Linked DNA regions of Schizosaccharomyces pombe. The protein of the gene in region 3 interacts with the protein of the main gene of each other region in a pairwise test. Each region holds a gene or a part of one and is shown on either strand. Other genes may lie near its edges.

Region 1 (4,956 bases), on a different chromosome or scaffold from region 3:
GAGCATGAGCAGGAGAAGATGTTGCATGGGCTTGAGTCTCGGGTTTCTTAACAATGAGAGCGTCGAAGGCCTCACGCTCTTTCCTCTCCGCGATAACCTCAGCTAAAACAGGTCTGAGGTAATGGTAATCCTCCTCAGGCTTTGTCCATTCAGATTTTGGCAAAATTTTATTCTCAATGCTAAGTTGCATGGCACGGCGAATACGATAGACTCGATCGTAGGATTCCATCTTAGGCAAACGAGATAACGCCTTTTGAGTATCGTCATTCTCCTCCAACATCAAATCGTCGTATCGAAGACCATATTTACGGTATCCTGACAAATGCACATAGGCATTGGAGATGGGTAAAAGCAATTTCGTCAAAAATGGTGATTTTTGAATATACTTGGCAAGAGACACAGGTTTCATACTTAAACAATCACTTCAGCAAAAAAAAATTTCGTCACTACAAAATTTGCACTGAAATCAATAAAACTCTTAGTTTTGAATATTGGAAGAAGGTAAGATCTCATGGCCCTATAGTATGCCAATGAATCCTTCGGTCACCTGATGTTACCTGCACATAGAATCCTGAGCGGAATTAGAAAGTAATGAAAATCTGAATATCCTAGTATTCTCGGCTCATTTCTCTTAAGTTATTGTTTAACTCTAACGATTTTATAACCTAAACTAATTTAACGACGTGTCTAACATATATTCGGGAATGCACCATTGCTAGTATTCGTATGAACCAGAAGTTTGCTCAGGTTACATGTTCTCTTTCAGTACTAACCTATTGAAACGAATGAAATTTATCAAATAAAACTCGTTAGTATGAAAAATACTTAATTATATAGCTTTAATAGGAAAAAAAAAGTAAATTTATATTGGATCCCATTTGTGCGAATGCGCTAGCTCGAATATGTCGAGTTGCCAGAAAGGAGCTGAAAAACTTTAAACAAATGATAGCGACATAACCGCCTCTGGCAATATTAGTAACGAAATTTATTCCAAAATTGGATAAATTAATGAATGATTGGTTTGCAAAAGAATATATTCCATATTACTTTGCATCCACTTCTTTAAATAGTAACCAGATCAAGCCACCTTTCTTAAAGGATAAAAGTTGTGTTTCATAACATAATATGTGGCTAACACCAATATGCATAAATAGTAAATGAACATAGTAAAACGATTCAAACGCCATCCGCAAATTAACCCAACGAGGAACAAAATTGTGAAAGCAATGAGAAGCTTTGCATTTCGACGATTCCGGTGAAGAACGTTTTTCACCTGAATAACTTCTGTTGGATCGTTCTGAAGGGCTAAAGACTTACTAAAATGACTTTCAAGGCTCACTGGCTCATTTTGAATTTCGCGATTTTGACCATCCCCTGCTTTACCAGTATCTTTCTTTGCAGTGGACTTTAAAGTAGACACGGAAAAAGGTAAATTCTTCTCTATCACGTTATCACCTTTTAGAGATATGGAAGGGTTCAGGGAAAATTTACTTGGCTGATTAGACGTCGTATGAATAGAATCGTTTACTTTGTTGCCCACTTCTTGAGGAACCAGTTTCGATAAAGGAGAATTTTGAAGCTGAAGAGTAGGTTTAAGCATCGGTCGAACAGGACTAGATGTTGGAAGGGCGGCCATTTTTTTTTGAAGAAAAGTCATAGGGGATTCCTCCGGAGCTCTCTCACGAACAGACTGATTTCCCAAATGAGACGTTGCGTTGGTATTATTCAGAATTGAAATTGTCGCAAATTGCTGCAATTTATTCTGCCCACTAATTCCATCTTTTCTGTCACTCGATTCCTTTCCTATCCGATGCACAGAAGATGTACTTTCCTGACGCTTCTTGCGTGGTTTCAAAATTTCGCCAGTCAAATGAACTTCTGGAGGAGGACTTGGCTTTAAACATGAGATGCTAATCCATGTAAAACAAATGGTAACAAAGAAAAAGGCTGCATGTATTTGACGGAGTAAAAAATCACTTTCAAGATTGGTATCCGAGCTTAAGTTCAAAATTTCCGACTCATAACATGAAAGGAGATACAAGCAAGTTAAACGGATAATAAGATAAAGTGCCTGACATTGGATATACTGATCCCGCCCAAAAAGCTCCCAAGATGGATTGTCCATCATTTTGTACCAATACGGGTTCCAAAAGACAACGAAAAAACCAAGCCAATTAAAGTAAAAAATTTTGCTAGAGGATCCATCTAATAGGAAGTAAGAGATTGCTTTTAGAAATAAATTACGAATACCATCTGGTAATAAGCTTATTATCATAGAATGATACAAATGCCACACAATCGATTGCAAATAGAAAAACGAAAAACCAAATCCACGAAGTAACCAAAGAACAAAAGAAGCTTTTGGATAGTGATGGGGGACTTTTGCGTTTAGCTGTTCCTTTGACTTTTGCAGCCAATATCCTAAAACCTGATTTTTGGCTTCATAATCATTGGCATCAAGTTGGTCTTGAACGGAGTCATAGCATTCAGAGCAAACAATGGGAAATTTCTCTTCTATAGATTTTTTATACTCTGGTAATGCCTTCTCATAAGCCTGATAATCTGGATGTGATGAGTCTGGCAGATAATCAGCAAGCATCCGATTCACAATCAGTTGGTTCATTTGACATTTTTCACAAAAGGGGCTCTGAAAGGAAGAACTGCTTGGGAAATCCCGTATCGCGTAAAAAGGACCAACACCCTTGTCTTGAGTTGGGGTTGGAGGTCGATAATCCAGGATATCACCTTTCTCATCAATATGGTTGGTGGCTTCACAAATTGAGCAAGTCCAAGTAGACGTTCCGTCTCTAATTTTTTCCTTCTTCTTGTTGCAATAAAAACAAGTTACTGTTTTATCACCAAAAGTGGATTTCAATCCATCATCGGAATTTCCCAATCCAAGTGTAAACAATCGGCTAGATTCCATTTCCCATTATACCATTTAATGCAAAGTTCTCATAGAATCCTGTGTGTGCAAATTTAAAAAAAAAAAGGGAAACAACAAGTCAAACCAGCACACGTAAGAAGAAAACCAAACAACTGATATTCTGTGAGTTAACGGAAATAAAATGCATGTAAATATCTTTTATATCAAGGTACAAGGTGTAATGGTACAGAGGACCCCTTATACAGAATGACCTTTATCAAACACTTGTGCTGCTTGACAAAGTAAAAGAGAAGTACTAAATAACGAGTGAAGTAACAATTAGATACACTTGAATAGTATAAAAGTTTTCTTGAAATGTTGAGCAAGAAAACTCGAAGATTTCGACTATACAGTTTCCCCACGGTGCTCGTGGTGAGAATAGGGAAAAGGCCGACCGTCAGCAGGGTCCCAAGCCAATTCGTAGCGGGTTGTCAGAACAAAGTTCAAACAAATTGAGGATAAAAGGAGTTTTTGAAGAAATGAGCTGTTTAATTTTTTTTTGTTTGTATTTTCTTTTTCGAGCTTCCTAGAAAAAAAAAATTTGAACCATTGTACCAGAAGAACGATCAGTGTTTGTGGCTTATTTTTAGAGCCTTACTTATGATATGCTCTACGACGCATTGAAGTGGAATGCAATGAGAAATATCTTAATAAATTTTCTTTTTAATAAAACCAACCGCTCTTAATTTGTTAGGTGAAAGTCAACAAAAAATCTTTTTGGTATTTTATGCAAATAATTCGTTTAACAAAAAGTTTAATAGTTTTTAAGTTCGCTTAATTTTTAAGCTACAAAGGAACGAGTTTGAGAAGTTGTGTAGAAAAGTATTGACAAAATGTAGGCTGAGTGGATGTCTACAACAATGCCTACAAGCCATCGTTAAATGTCAAATGTATTGATGAAACAAGCCGCTTTTAAATGAAAGATTGCATTTGCATCTTAAGCTTGCGCCAACATTGACTGTTGCCCCATTGTAAAAAAAAAATTCAATAATGTCTGTCAATGGAAACGGTGTATGTCACTGACTCCAAAAGGTCATAATCATGAATTAAGCACGAAAACGAAAATTTCATACAAGTAGTTCATTTTTACTTTTCAATCCTTATTGCATGTTGAGAAAGGAAATCTAGTCTTGTAACTATAAGCAATAGACAGCATGATCATCTCTATTCTATTACAAGTTGATTAAAATTGATATGCTGCGCCATTAATTAACTTACGAGAGGCTCATCGCTACGATGAAATGGCTTAGACCATGATTATACAAAATATTATAGGGTAGAGACGATTAGGAAATTGGATGTCTTCGTAAACTTGAAATAGGACGAGTTGCGAAAGTTGATGTTTTACGTGGCTTGGGGAGCGTTGTTAGGAAAAGCATGATGAAGATGGCAAAATGGCTAAGCTAAGATAAACGATTTCATATTTAGTATTTAACAGGAAACAAAGCCCTTTGGAAAGAACCAAATTTTAATAATTTTTTTTTTTTACTTCATTTCATTACCTTTTATTTTTAAGTTGGACGCACTGTGGTTTTGAGATTCTGGATATTGGTATCCTTTTTCTTCTTTTCTACGATTCTCGAAGTTTTAAAAGTTTCAAAGTATTTTACCGACATTCGACAATATGTCGATATCTAATCAATCGGGTTTGGATATTTTGAGAGAAGTTGATGATGAAGGTCAGGAAAACTCTTTCTTGAGAAAGACTACAAGGAAAATCCAGCAGTTTTTTAAATCGGATCCGGGCTATCAATCTCGCAAAGCCGAGTACAACAGTCCTGCTAAGGCTACGGGCGATGTGAATATTAATGTTACGAGTCAGGATTGGTTATCCAAGTTGGATCGTAATCTATCCATCGAGAATTTAACAGGTAAAAGCTTGGGTATCGTAGTAGTGTCTGGGAGAAATAAAGGTCTCATAAAGAATCCGTTTTTAGGGGGGTTAGTGGATATTGTTATGCGTCGACAGGATAAACTATATCTCAAAAGTGTTGAGCAAGTGTCTTCTGAATATTCACCGATGCAGGAAC
Region 2 (3,643 bases), on a different chromosome or scaffold from region 3:
CCAAGCAACACTTATTGTGTAAGGGTAAATTTTACACCACGTTCGAGTAGTATGCAAGGCACCATTTCTTGATCTAAATAAAGACGTAAACCCTTGCGGTAGTGTATCGCTAAGAAGTGAGTTTATTTAGTAATAGTGTAATTACTGAGCTGGAAAAAATGAATATATCTCTCGAATATGCAATTCTGACGATATCAGTGCTGGATTAAAAACTATTCATTGACTAGATTCTTAATAAAGTTAAAAGCAACGGGATCACCCACAAACGATCTCATGCTTATCATTTGTAACTTTGAATATCTATCTATTAGATTAGGCTGATTGAGTAATGTCTTATACTATGGCTTAGTTCGAACAGGCTAGCTGCTTCCAATCAATACTTTATTAGCAAGTTTGTTATTACATATCTATTTTATAAAAAACAAAAAAATCATCTAAACTAGTCAAAATTCCTTACTAATTTGTAATACAGAACACTAGCTTAACTTCTACGAATACTTGAAAAGGAGGCTTAACCGTTAAAGCACATATCAACTTTCGGAACTTTAATATTCTATAAAACTAAATGATAGAATACATACCTTCCACTTGGTTCCACTTTTAACTCTTAAAGAAATGCTTTTGAGTAATCTTTAGAAGGAAATATCAAAATTCTTTAACCAGTTTGGGTGAAAGCTATAGTATTAAAGAGTAAAAATTTTATTTATAAATGTAAGTAAAAATAGGTACTATGTTGTGATAGCAAATCACTAAACAATAAACCCAAACCACACAAAAACATTGGATTCAAGTCCCCTCGGTAAAAATATAATAATGTACCCATAGCCCAAAAAATGCAATGAAACTTTTTACGATCTGTCTTTGACTATTAGTTTGCAGAAAAAAGCATCTGCACAGAAAGACTTCTGGTTCCCCTGAAAAGACTGAAAAAATCCAATAATACCACAAAGGACTTTCCAGACAAACATTGAGAGTTTAAAAATAAAAAAAAACCCCGAATTGGTCATTAAAATAATATAGGTGAAACGACGTATTCGTATGCTCCTTGCTATCATCTTTGACTAGCTCCTCTAGTCGTCTCCCTTAACAACACCAACCTTGGCAGGACGAATAACTCTTCCATTCAATTGAAAACCCTTGCTTTCGCAATGGAAGACAGTGTTGGGCTTTTTACCTTCAACAGGGATTTGGAAAACAGCTTCATGGATGTTAGGATCAAAATCTTCTCCGATACCGTCATAGCGAACTAAACCATATTTTCCTAAGGTTTTCATTAAGTTCGATTCAGTCATTGCTAAACCTTCATAAAGATCAACTAAATCCTTGTTGGACTCACGATTGTTACGCTTCTCCTCTGGAACAATTGAAAGAGCACGCTCCAAATTATCGACAGAATCCAAAAGATCCTTAGTAAGCTTTTGAACAGCAAATGCACGTGTTTGCTCCATGTCTCTCTTCATGCGGTTTTCCAAATTACGATAGTCAGCTAAGCTTTGGCGAATGCTACCCTTTAACTCCGCAACCTCTTTGTCCTTTGCTTCATATTTACTTTTAAGCTCAGAAAGCTTAGATTGAAGTTCCTTAACATCAACATTCTCTGTTTCGGCAACTTTTTCTTCAGCAGGCTTTTCTTCCTTAGCAGCCTCAGTTGAGTACCAAAGGAAACTGCGTTTATTAATGGGTGCTCGAATAAGCGTCCGAGGACGTACAGCGGATGAAAATACTCTTCCAAGCCCAAGCATTGTTTCAGTGAGAGCTTTGTGGTAAAAGACAACTGTGTCACACTATAGACAAATGGTGTTGTGAACTTAGCACTGTTAAATTTTACAAATATCAATTTCATCAACTTAAAAATTCGTTATGTTTCGTTAAATGAGGTATGGACTTTGAGATGGAAGCTGATTCAAAAAATATATAAATGACACTTTTTTCTCAAATTAAAGCTTCTATTTCGATATGTAACAAATTGATTGTAGGTTTGAACATGCATGTAGGAAAGCAACCCAAATTTCGAATTTGCTCAACACTGGAAGCCAACAACGGCTCATATGCTTATCAATTATTAATTTATTCTTTTCAGCTTCATTCTCAACAGATAATAATTAACTGATTTCTCATCTATATTTATATCCTTCTTGGTATGCTTTACGGCATTGGATTATATCGAAGTACTTACTTCGCAGCCTTTGAAAGTAAAATAATTGAATATTATAATTTAAGTTTTAAAATAATCCTATTTGTGTCATCTGGGCCATCTTATTATTTTTACATTCATCAGTTTATTTGCATAATGATATTTGTTGAACAATTTATGGGAGTCGAATTTTCACAAATTCCTATTATAATAATATCATATTCTTAATTACAGAAGTCTTCATAATAAAAGGTACCTTAGTTAAGTGTCAGATATGTCTTATCGGTATTGGACCTTACACTTTCATCCACCATCACTACTTAAACTCAGGAATACATTTGAGGATTGTAGAGGCAGAGCCATAGCTTTCTGTTAAATATTTATCTAAGCTTTGTGAAAATTTACGATTCAACCACTGAACACTTTTAATCGCCTACTAGTCCAGAAGTTGCGCTTTCAAGTAGCACCATACTCTCCTATTTTCCTGCTTGGACGTTTACCTAGATTTTCTAAATACTTATCTCTCTAAATCATGTCTTCACAATCATATCGAGAACGGACACTTGTTTCTGTAATTGGAGACGATGATACCGTTACTGGGATGCTTTTAGCTGGAACTGGTCAGGTAAATGAAAACGGTGACAAAAACTTTTTTATAATTACTCAGAGTAAGATTATCTGTTAAAAAATGGAATCGTGTTTTCGCTAACTTGCTGTTTTATGTAGAGACTACAGATGAGCAGATTGCTGAAGCTTTTGATGATTATACTACGAAAAGGAAGGATATTGCGATTGTATTGATTAACCAGTTTGCCGCTGAAAGAATACGTGATCGTATTGAAAACCATGTGCAGGCATTCCCTGCTGTATTGGAAATTCCTAGCAAAGACGATCCTTATGATCCTGAAAAGGACAGTATCCTCCGTCGTGTTAGAAAGATCATTGGAGAATAGACTATTAATATTTAATTATATTTTTTGAGCAATAATTTCAATTAGTCAACAACTCGATCGATTTGACTGATGACACTTTTATATTTGTATCTTTTGGTTTACTTACTGGCATACTAGCAAAAAATTGTAAGCAGAGTTTTTGTTAAACTATATTTGATAAATAGAAAAGTGATTATAAGAGAAATGTATTATTTTAAGTATAAATCTCATTCAACATCAAAACTGACATTACAACCACAAGAAGTCTTGGCACGTGGATTGTTTAAAAGTTGAAAAGAGGAACCAATAAGTTCATTTGTATACTCAATTTCAGAGCCACTTATCAAAGGTAATGAAATGTTGTCAGCAACAACCCTGGCTTTTCCACGCACAAATACCCTAGATATTTAGTCAATAACCAGGAAATACTTAATTAAAACTTATAGTCTTCTTAACCACATCACTTACGTGTCAGCATTTCCAATTTTGTTGTCCATGCGAAAAGATACTTGATATCCATGGCATCCACCACCATCGACAGTGACGCGCAAAACAGAGTTTTCTTCTGGTTTCCTTT
Region 3 (6,596 bases):
TTGAATGGAGCGGTTTAGGTGAATTCAACGCTATTTTTGGTCGACTTAACGGCGATGAGTCTGCGTATGGTGTCTATGCTGAGAAAGCAAAGGTGCAGCAACTAACATACGAGAGACAGAGTGCGAATGAGAAGGGTTTAAAATCACTTGAGCTATCCAGACGATTTGTTTTGGGTGGGACGTTTACTAGTGAATTTTCTGAATGGATGCAAAAAGCAGAGGAGGATGAGGATCGTGTATGTGAAGATGCGTCTTCATCCGATGAAGCTAAGCGTGAAAAAAGAAAGAAGCACTCTTCTAAGAAGAAAAGTAAGAAAAAGACCTCTACTGGTTCGGCTCTTGATCCTAAAAAGTTGGAAAAAATAACGAAGAAGAAGAAAAAAGAGCACAAGAAAAAGGATAAGGAAAGTTCTTCAAAAAAGAGAAAATCAGGCTCAAGCGACAAAGAAGAGAAAAAGAAAAAGAAAATAAAATTAAAGGATAAACCAGAGTCCACTTCCTCTGTCGAGAAGGTCAAAGAAGGCAACCGACCCGCTAGCATTCATTTCCATACCAGAAGAAAATTTTTGGCACAAAAGCGAGCAGCAGTAAGCGACCCAGTTGCTTTAAGGGAGATTTTAGGTATTAAAGGTTAGGAAGTGACTTCTTTTGCTATTTTTCTAACTTGCGGAATATAATAAACGAGTCTTAGAAGTTATGGGTATACAATACTTTAAGAGGAAGGGTTTGTCGGTTTTTTAATCTATGTCTTAATAGAAGGTAATATTTAGTTGATTTTGGAAGAAATTGCTGGATTCGGGCTTGTAATTTCGAAAAGCTACTTATGTCGTATTGTAATCAGCTATTGAGAGTAATCGCGTTCGTATTTTATGACTCTGGTTTGTGTAATACGGGATTTTAGGTAAAAATATTGACGACTTCATCCTGAAAGTTTTACATTACTAAACATTCATTAAAGTTACGATAATCATTTACACACATACCAATCGAAGTATCTCATATGCCATACAAAGAATTAGTTAAAAATAACATTTCTATTAAGCTATGGAGATCGGAAGGCTATTCCTCCATCACTAAAACTCTGGTTATATTCACATGCATTAAATTGCACGTTTCCATACAAAAGGAAGTCTAAAAAGAAAACTACTCGAGCTAGTACAACCACCAATTTAAAAGTAGATCTCCTGCTAGAGAAAGTTAGTATAGTTCAGTAAAAATAGAATAGTATGTGAATACAGAAAAATCACAGTAATGCTCAGCAATATATATCTACTATCTTTTCCCGATTTTTTTTCAACATAATTAAATCTGTTGTCCCTATCAAGAAATCATCTTCGCAACTGTCTTTTTTCTTAAATTATGTATTGCACTTACACATGATTAACAATTACAATTTCAACCGCAATATTATTGCGTTGTTCTTATAAACTCATTGTTGAAGTATATGGTTAATATCAAACTGCTACGGCGCTTCAGAGAATTTATAGTGCTACTCAAAAAGAATAACTGAGTGAAGTGGGAACATCGTATTTTTAAATGTGTCTTTTAGTATTTTTCCTATTGTTTTATGTTTCTAAAACTTGCTAGATGAAAACTTCAAGCAACTAACTTCTGGCATACGTGTTTGTACCAACGAATACCTTGCCTGGTCGAAACGCACCAGCAGCCAACATTTCCAGCTGTCCTTCATTTGGAGCTTGGGAAAATGGACATCAATGATCCATCATTTTCATCGACTGAAAATGGTATTTATGAACTTCTATCACGTGGCTATGCTGCGATTGAAGCTGCAACGGAGCGTGATTTAAAATTGCCAGAGTTAGGAGACATTATTGGTCGTATGTTGAAGCAGGTTTGATCAATTCTGAAGGCTAATTATTTTTTTTTAGAAGTACACGCTCCAGAATACATATCACAAGTTCTGAGTGGTTGGAAGCCGTTTTACCTTCGTTCTGTTGTAAATATTCCTGACCGTATATTTGAACAATACAATCGTAAGTAAACGAACTTTATGCGCCTTGGTAACTTTTCTAACTTATCATCGGTTTAGGTACGGAATGTTTTACTCAAATGGGGCTTTTTGCTGAAATCCAACGTGCTTGGATAACTGTGGACAACCGTTTGTTCTTATGGGATTATCTTTCGGGTCAAAACTTTCAAGCTTACGAAGATTTATCTCATACCATTGTCAATGTAAAGTTAGTGAGACCAAAGGCCAATGTTTTCGTCTCGGAAATCCAGCATTTACTCGTAATAGCAACTTCACAAGAAATGCTCTTATTAGGTGTTACAATCGATGAGAAAACTGGTGAATTATCCTTCTTCTCAACTGGTATCCAAATATCTGTTCAAGGGATTAATGTTAATTGTATCGTTTCTTCGGAGGATGGACGTATTTTTTTTTCCGGAAACAAAGATCCCAATTTGTATGAATTTTCTTACCAACTCGAAGAAGGCTGGTTTTCTCGTAGATGCAGCAAAATTAATATTACCGGTTCTGTTTTTGATAATTTTATTCCTTCTTTCTTTTCTTTTGGTACTCATGGTGATGGCATCAAGCAGATTGCTGTTGATGACTCCCGTAGCTTGCTTTATGTTTTGCGAGAGACCTCTTCTGTTTCTTGTTATGAACTTACGAAAAACGGCGTAAATCGTTGTGTCTTTTATTCTTTCAGCTCTATGATCTCTCAAGCTCAAATGCTAAATGCAACCTCTCCCTTATTGGATCCTCGGACTACTCAAATAGTTTCCATAGTTCCTATTCCAGCATATGAATCACAGCAAATATACTGTGTCGCAATTACCTCTACAGGATGTCGGTTTTACATGAGAGGTGGCCGGGGCCCCATTTCTCACTATGCACCGTCTAATTCGACTTTGTCGTCCACACCTCCTAGTACTTTACAACTTACTTTCGTTCGTTTTCCTCCTCCTATGCAAGTGGAGAATTATGCCTCTTCCCGCAATTATCCTGCTAACCCTTTCTTCCTGCAAAATCAATCTACATCTCAACAACAACCTGAAAGGTCAAGTGCTGTAAAAACTACTCCTATGAAATGTTCTTCTCTGAGTAATATTTATACATCCGATTTGTTTTTCGCCATAAGCTCCTCCAATACGAATGAGGGCGACGTCGTCTGTTGTACTGCTCCTGAAGTTGGTAGAATTGCCAATGCTTGGCAGAGTGGTACGCAACCGTCTCTCATAGAGTCTTCCATGTACGTTCCTATTAAGGGTTTTGTACAAGATATTAAATGCATTCAAAATTCTCGAGAACGCAATGAGTTGGTTTCTCAATTTAACACACCTCCTCCTACTTTTGCCATACTTACGAATACAGGGGTTTACGTGGTAGTTCATCGTCGTCCGATCGATGTCCTCGCTTCTGCTATTCGTATGGGACCTTCCCTATCGTCCGGAATCGATGGCCAAGTTCAACTGTTTTTTGAGAGTGTTGGTCGCGCTGAAGGTTGTGCAACTTGTTTGGGTATTGTAAGTGGATGTCTTGATCAGGGGGATTTTAGTCATGCTGCAGCAAACTTCTCTGGCTCCACTACTAAACTTGCACAAGCGGATCTTTTGGACATAGTAAAGAAATATTATATTGAGTTTGGCGGTAAAGCTTTTATTGATCAATCTCGCTATAACAACCAGTATGATTCTTCTTCTTTAGAATTCGTTCGTTTGTCTGGTTGTCATGATGGTTTGGCGTCCTCCATTTCGCGTATTATTAGAAATGTTTGGAAAAATCATGTCATTATAGCTAAAAAAATGCAAAATAAACGTATCCATTACGCGCCCGCATTTAACGCTACTGAAATTTTAAAAATACAATCTGGCTTGTTATATTTATCTACGTTCCTTGAAAATAACAAAAGTTTTATTGAAGGCCTTAATAGCCCAAATACCCTCATCGGCTCATCCAATGTTGCTGATGAAATTGCTGTACAAGCTGAACATAGAGCTTTGTCTGCATTGCTCTTGGTCCTCCAACAAATTGTTGAGGGGATATCGTTTTTGTTATTCTTAAACGATACCGGTGTATCCGATTTTCATGAAATTGTTTCTTCTACCTCCATTGATATTCAAAAATCGTGTTCAAACATGACCTTTGGTGAGTTTTTTACTTCGAAACGGGGTCGAGAAGTAACTAAGGAACTCGTAAATTCTCTTGTCAATAGGCATCTGCAGTCTGGAGGGAATATTGATATGGTTAGTCAGCTTTTACGTAAAAAGTGTGGAAGTTTTTGCAGCGCTGATGATGTTTTAATTTTTAAAGCCGTGGAGTCTTTAAAAAAGGCTAAGGATACGGTCGACATTGAAGAGCGACAATCTCTTATAGAGTTATCCTACACCCTCTTTAAAAAGGCTGCACATGTCTTTACTCCCGAAGACCTTCGTTTAGCAGTTGAGGAATACAAGTCTTTGAACGCCTATACAACCGCGGTAAACTTAGCATTACACGTAGCAAGTGCGAGAGACGATCGAAATCAAGCTTTGTCTTACCTTGTCGATGGAATGCCTGAGAACGATCCTAGGCGTGAACCTTTCGAGAGCCGTACAAAGTGTTATTCGTACATTTTTGAGATTTTGGATTCTTTGGAATCTCAAATGTCAAATGATTCGAGTGCAATTAAGGTTGATGTATACGATACTATACAGCGTTCAAAGGATGAACTTTTTCATTATTGCTTTTATGATTGGTATTCATTTAAGGGGCTTACAGATCGCTTGATTGAGATAGATTCCCCTTACATACAGAGTTATCTGGAACGTAACAGCACCAAAGACATGAAAATTGCTGACTTACTATGGCAGTATTATGCTAAACGAGAACAGTATTATCAAGCTTCAATAGTCTTGTATGATTTGGCTACTACCCACCTTGCATTTAGCCTTGAACAACGCATTGAATATCTTACACGAGCCAAAGGTTTTGGTAGCTGCCACGTCCCTAATTCTCTTAGGCATAAAATGAATAAGGTTATGCTTAGTGTACTAGAGCAGCTAGACGTTGCTAGTATCCAAGATGATGTTTTAATAGCAATCCGTGGTGATATGCGTATTCCTACTTCAAAAAGAGAAGAATTGAGCAAACAATTGGATGGGGAAATTATACCCCTTAGCGATTTATTTAATAATTATGCTGATCCTCTGGGTTACGGTGAGATATGCTTGTCCATATTTCAGTGTGCTGATTACAGAGGAATTAACGAAATCTTAAACTGTTGGGAGTCTATTATTAAAACTACTCATGAGAATGCTATAATATCACCAGTTGGGTCATCCCCTGTCGAAGCAGTTTCCTCTACATTAAAAAATTTGACGCTGAGATTTTCACAATCTGAAAACGTTTTCCCTATTGAGCAAATAATTGACATTACTGAAAGATATGCGTTTGATCAACAAGGTGAAGCGGTAGCTACTGGTTGGGTTATTGATACATTCTTGGGAGCCGGCGTTTCTCATGAATTAATATTTATTGTACTAAACCAGCTCTACGATCGCAGAGAAAAGCCTTGGCAAGGAAAAGATAGGCTTTTTTTCCTAATAAAAGAAGTTACCCATCTATTAAAATTATGGCATGAAGTGAGTGTAAGAGCCGGAGTTGCTCAAACCTCCAAACCCAGTTTTGATGCTCCTCTTGTTTTGGAAGCAATAGAGAAATACAAAAATGCGCTAGGTGCACCCGATACTGCCACGAAAAGTTGCAAAGAAAATTTAATATCTTTAGATTCTGAAATTCGTCAGACATACTAGTGAAAAGATAGCTTTTTATAACAACATTTTTTAAAAAGATGGTGTTTGGTATTTAATAAATGCAATGATTATATTGGATGGATTTGAAACCTTCACATAATTGGATGTTGTTAACTATCGCTATGACTGTTACATATAAAAAAACAATTTAGAAAATACTCTTTTACAGCACTTGCAATGATAAATGTGTGATTAGAAACTAAAAAACCTAAATCCTTTTTTTTTTGTAAAATTTAACACCTGCCAAAGTTAGTAATTTAAGTGTGATAAATGACTATGAATAGCTTACATTCTATAAGAAAGGTCTTCTGAAACAGGCTCGCGATTTGGCTCACGTGGATTGAAAGTGTATGAAATATCAATATCAAGTTCGCGGTGGTTTCCTTCTGCAGGTTTGCAAGTAATTGTACCTCTAATGTATTCACCGGCCTATAGAAGTGGTGTTAGTAAATCTTGTAAAAGAGAAAAAATGTACCTTTACAGTGAGATCCTTATGAGTATAGAAAACAGTTTGTTTCCAATGAGTGTAACGGGAGAATGGGCCGGTACTAAACTTAATAGGTTTATGACAAGCGGAAAATTCGATGTCAAACCACGCAAGGAAAGCATGAACGAAATCGTTGCGAGTAGCGGTTATTTCAAAGGGAGAGGAAAATGCGAGGTCTTCTTTTTTCACAGTTTTTAAATCTAAATCAAGAATTACACAACTATTGGTATTGACGGCTATGCGATCAACCGTATCAACCAAAGGTTCTTTCCAGACATCCTTTTTTATGGGAGAAAAATCAAAACCGTAAACGTCGTCCCAAACTGAGAAATGAATGGTTAGAAAGATA
Region 4 (2,839 bases), 3.7 Mb from region 3:
CGGTGACTATAGAGGTCAACAATTTTATAGTATGGACAATGGAAACACGTCTATAAGACCTGTAAGTAAGAAACTCAGAAAGAATATTCATTATTCCCAACAGCTCAAAAAAATTAAGATATTTATTTAGATATAAAAAATATAAAACATCTATAGAGTATAAGCGGTAATGGTCATAAAGCAAAAAGATAATTGATTAGAGTAATGAAATAAAATAGAATTTTAGTAAAGCCAACTAACATTTTGAACTGCAAGATACATCTCAGAAAGTGAAGAAATAGAAAAAAATCATAATTTTTCATATTGTTGAGCTTGACATGTCATTTTTATCCTCCTCGATACACCCGACAGTTCAGAATCCAAGCTGGACAATTAAAGGTATTTGAATGTATAACCCTAAAACCCATCACAAATACCATAGCTACTACGCTAATGTTGATATACAAAAATTATACATAGTTAAGAGATCGTATACATATTTATACTCATTAACTACTCTGAGGATGACTGCTAAAGTGACTGTCTTTTAGAACACCTACCCTGAAGAAAACGAATGTATCCAGAATAAATCATATGTAGGAGGACATCGGGAAAAGAGGGGGGTAGGAACAAGAACCGAATCAAATAATATAGTTAGAAATAAAAAAAAGTCTACACTTCATCAACGTTATCATCCCAATCATTATCACGCATGCTTCTGGGAGCGTAGTCTTGCAATCCTGCTACGTAGTTTGCACCACAGTAGGCGATACCTGCAAGAAGAACTAAAAAGCCTAGGAAAGAAGTAAACCCGGAGTAAGAAAAGAGTAAAGTACCCATGAAAGCGTAGAAGAAGCCCCTTCCTAAGAATGAGAACATGAACGATCCATATTTAATAGCAATAGGAGGAATTTCCTTTTCTAAACCAATAGTTCCCAAACCGAAAACGATGATGAACAATGCAAGTAAAGCGTTTACGAAGCTAAATGAAAATAACTTGATAAATCCGCTTAAAACGAAGATACCACCTACGCCCAAATTAATGGCACTAAACATTTTTGTTTTATCCATTGTGAATTAAGTGTATGCAACCAATATTAAATTTTTCAAGCAATATGTATTTTAGTCGATGTTTGCTTAAAGACAAAGAGAAATGCAAGTTACTAAGCCTGCCTATGCTTACCGATGCGGTCATGCATATTTACGAACTATTGAAATACGGTAAATAAAAATAACGAATTCCATAATTCTCAACCAACTTTTTGTTGTTTACAGAAAATGAATAATTCAATTCATCGAAAATGCATTTTGTTTTCTATAGCATTCTTTGTACTGTTTTTGAAGTTAAAAACACTATCATTTAGTAAATAATGTACTTTCGACCCGGCTTTTTTTTGAGACAACTGTTGTTGACAATTTTAAGGTCTGTGGGTCAATTTATATATTTGTCAAACGTTCGTAAACAAATGTATTTGTATCTTAGTTTCATACGAGCTCCTTTAGCTATATGTGATCTACTCTCACTCGGGATCTACAGGGCTGTAAAATTTTTTGCACTCAAGTTTCACGCGATTATTATCAGATGCACCTGAATAAAAAAGAATAAAGTAAAATAAAAAGCCGAATGTTTTATAACGTAGTAAAATTCCTTCTTATTTTGATCGCTTTGCCATTCATTTGATTATGTTTATAATGATAATTTCACGTGCAATGTCAACTTTGATAGACGGCTACATCTATTTCTAATTCGTAACGCTATAAAAAAAAACTCCATTTTAAACTGAGAATAAAGCAAGAAGTCGATTAGCCGAATATAGATATCAGCATGATTCGTTTTAAACGGCCCAAAGCCTTGTATATATTTGAGTAATTTTCTACTGTACTTAATTGTCTGTAATTAAACAACTATTTGTTACTCCTACCTTGTTACACTTGGATTTAATACTCTGGAATTAGTGTACTAACTCCTAAATAAATATTTAAGTAGTATTTTTCTTTAAGATATTTCTTTAATAAACATTCTCTTCTAATGAAAAGAAAAGCGTCATTATTGGTATTTTAGTTTTCAGAGCAAAGAGGTACTTAACATTTATTATGTCGCAATTATTTTATATATATATTATATTAATATTTTGTAATGAGAAACCTAGGCCTAATAGTGTAGTGGTTAACATACCTCTTTCGGGTAATCCCCACTTGTATGCTGAGTTTAGAGGTGATCCCTGGTTCGAATCCTGGTTAGGCCCCTTTTTATACTGGGCTTGCTGTATAAATTTATCTGATTAATTTTGAAACTACGCAAACCAACTTTCAATAATTAAAAAGTTTTCCTTACACCTTGCTTGATTACCTTTTAATAGATGTGAAATAAGAACTACTAAATTTGTGATAAATACCGAAAACAATCAGAAGAGTCGAAAAGAAGCATTCAAAAAATTGTGTAAATAACGAGTAGGTTTCTAATAATACGATAATTTCACAGGATGCCTATAATGGATCTGGCAGCTAATGAGCAAATCATTTTTACTTTTTTTTTTATTTAAAACATACGAAAAGATTCTCTTTTTTTGCTGCAAACAAAATTTACTGTAATTGAACCTAGAATTGGTAGCAAAGGCATTACACCGTATTACTGTAAACTTCACTAATGTTTGTGTTTTTAGGCGCATGATGAACATGATTACTCAAGAAAGTAACCAGCGACTATGTCAAATTTGCTTCTGATCATTGACTCGGTTTCACAAAAAATAAGAGACAGGAGGAAGTTGGAAGAGTTTGGACAGAATCCCGATGAAGAAATTGAGTCTTCATTGAAAGATGTTCGGCAAGAATTGCAAAAACTTAATGAGGAGCAATCGCG

Evidence for each region.
Region 1: the proteins of nup155 (region 3) and ima1 interact in a two-hybrid assay, tested with the Schizosaccharomyces pombe proteins (one large-scale study listed by BioGRID).
Region 2: the proteins of nup155 (region 3) and mge1 interact in a two-hybrid assay, tested with the Schizosaccharomyces pombe proteins (one large-scale study listed by BioGRID).
Region 4: the proteins of nup155 (region 3) and tvp15 interact in a two-hybrid assay, tested with the Schizosaccharomyces pombe proteins (one large-scale study listed by BioGRID).

Annotation. Positions count from the first base shown.
Region 1 is NC_003421.2:1,887,547-1,892,502, forward strand, and holds ima1 (inner nuclear membrane protein Ima1), read right to left. Parts: upstream 3,319-4,956; 5' UTR 2,927-3,318; coding exon 1,079-2,926; 3' UTR 557-1,078; downstream 1-556. Other genes in the region: qcr7 (ubiquinol-cytochrome-c reductase complex subunit 6), read right to left, coding at 1-409; SPOM_SPCC737.04 (uncharacterized protein), read left to right, coding at 4,551-4,956. UniProt on the Schizosaccharomyces pombe protein: Inner nuclear membrane protein that specifically binds to heterochromatic regions and promotes the tethering of centromeric DNA to the SUN-KASH complex.
Region 2 is NC_003423.3:4,020,646-4,024,288, reverse strand, and holds mge1 (GrpE domain-containing chaperone mge1), read right to left. Parts: upstream 1,773-3,643; 5' UTR 1,743-1,772; coding exon 1,071-1,742; 3' UTR 517-1,070; downstream 1-516. Other genes in the region: vma7 (V-type ATPase V1 subunit F), read left to right, coding at 2,667-2,802, 2,861-3,087; Fe-sulfur protein Isa2, read right to left, coding at 3,294-3,465, 3,535-3,643. UniProt on the Schizosaccharomyces pombe protein: Essential component of the PAM complex, a complex required for the translocation of transit peptide-containing proteins from the inner membrane into the mitochondrial matrix in an ATP-dependent manner.
Region 3 is NC_003424.3:5,010,027-5,016,622, forward strand, and holds nup155 (nucleoporin, WD repeat Nup155), read left to right. Parts: upstream 1-1,661; 5' UTR 1,662-1,705; coding exon 1,706-1,838; exon of another isoform or gene 1,839-1,889; coding exon 1,890-1,994; exon of another isoform or gene 1,995-2,050; coding exon 2,051-5,760; 3' UTR 5,761-5,993; coding exon of another isoform or gene 5,994-6,000; 3' UTR 6,001-6,040; downstream 6,041-6,596. Other genes in the region: pxr1 (PINX1 family ribosome biogenesis protein), read left to right, coding at 1-635; protein arginine N-methyltransferase Rmt1, read right to left, coding at 5,994-6,000, 6,050-6,189, 6,236-6,570.
Region 4 is NC_003424.3:1,314,310-1,317,148, reverse strand, and holds tvp15 (COPI-coated vesicle-associated protein), read right to left. Parts: upstream 1,125-2,839; 5' UTR 1,051-1,124; coding exon 652-1,050; 3' UTR 506-651; downstream 1-505. Other genes in the region: tnr3 (thiamine diphosphokinase Tnr3/ Nudix hydrolase fusion protein), read left to right, coding at 1-56; fsv1 (SNARE Stx8), read left to right, coding at 2,685-2,839. UniProt on the Schizosaccharomyces pombe protein: Golgi membrane protein involved in vesicular trafficking.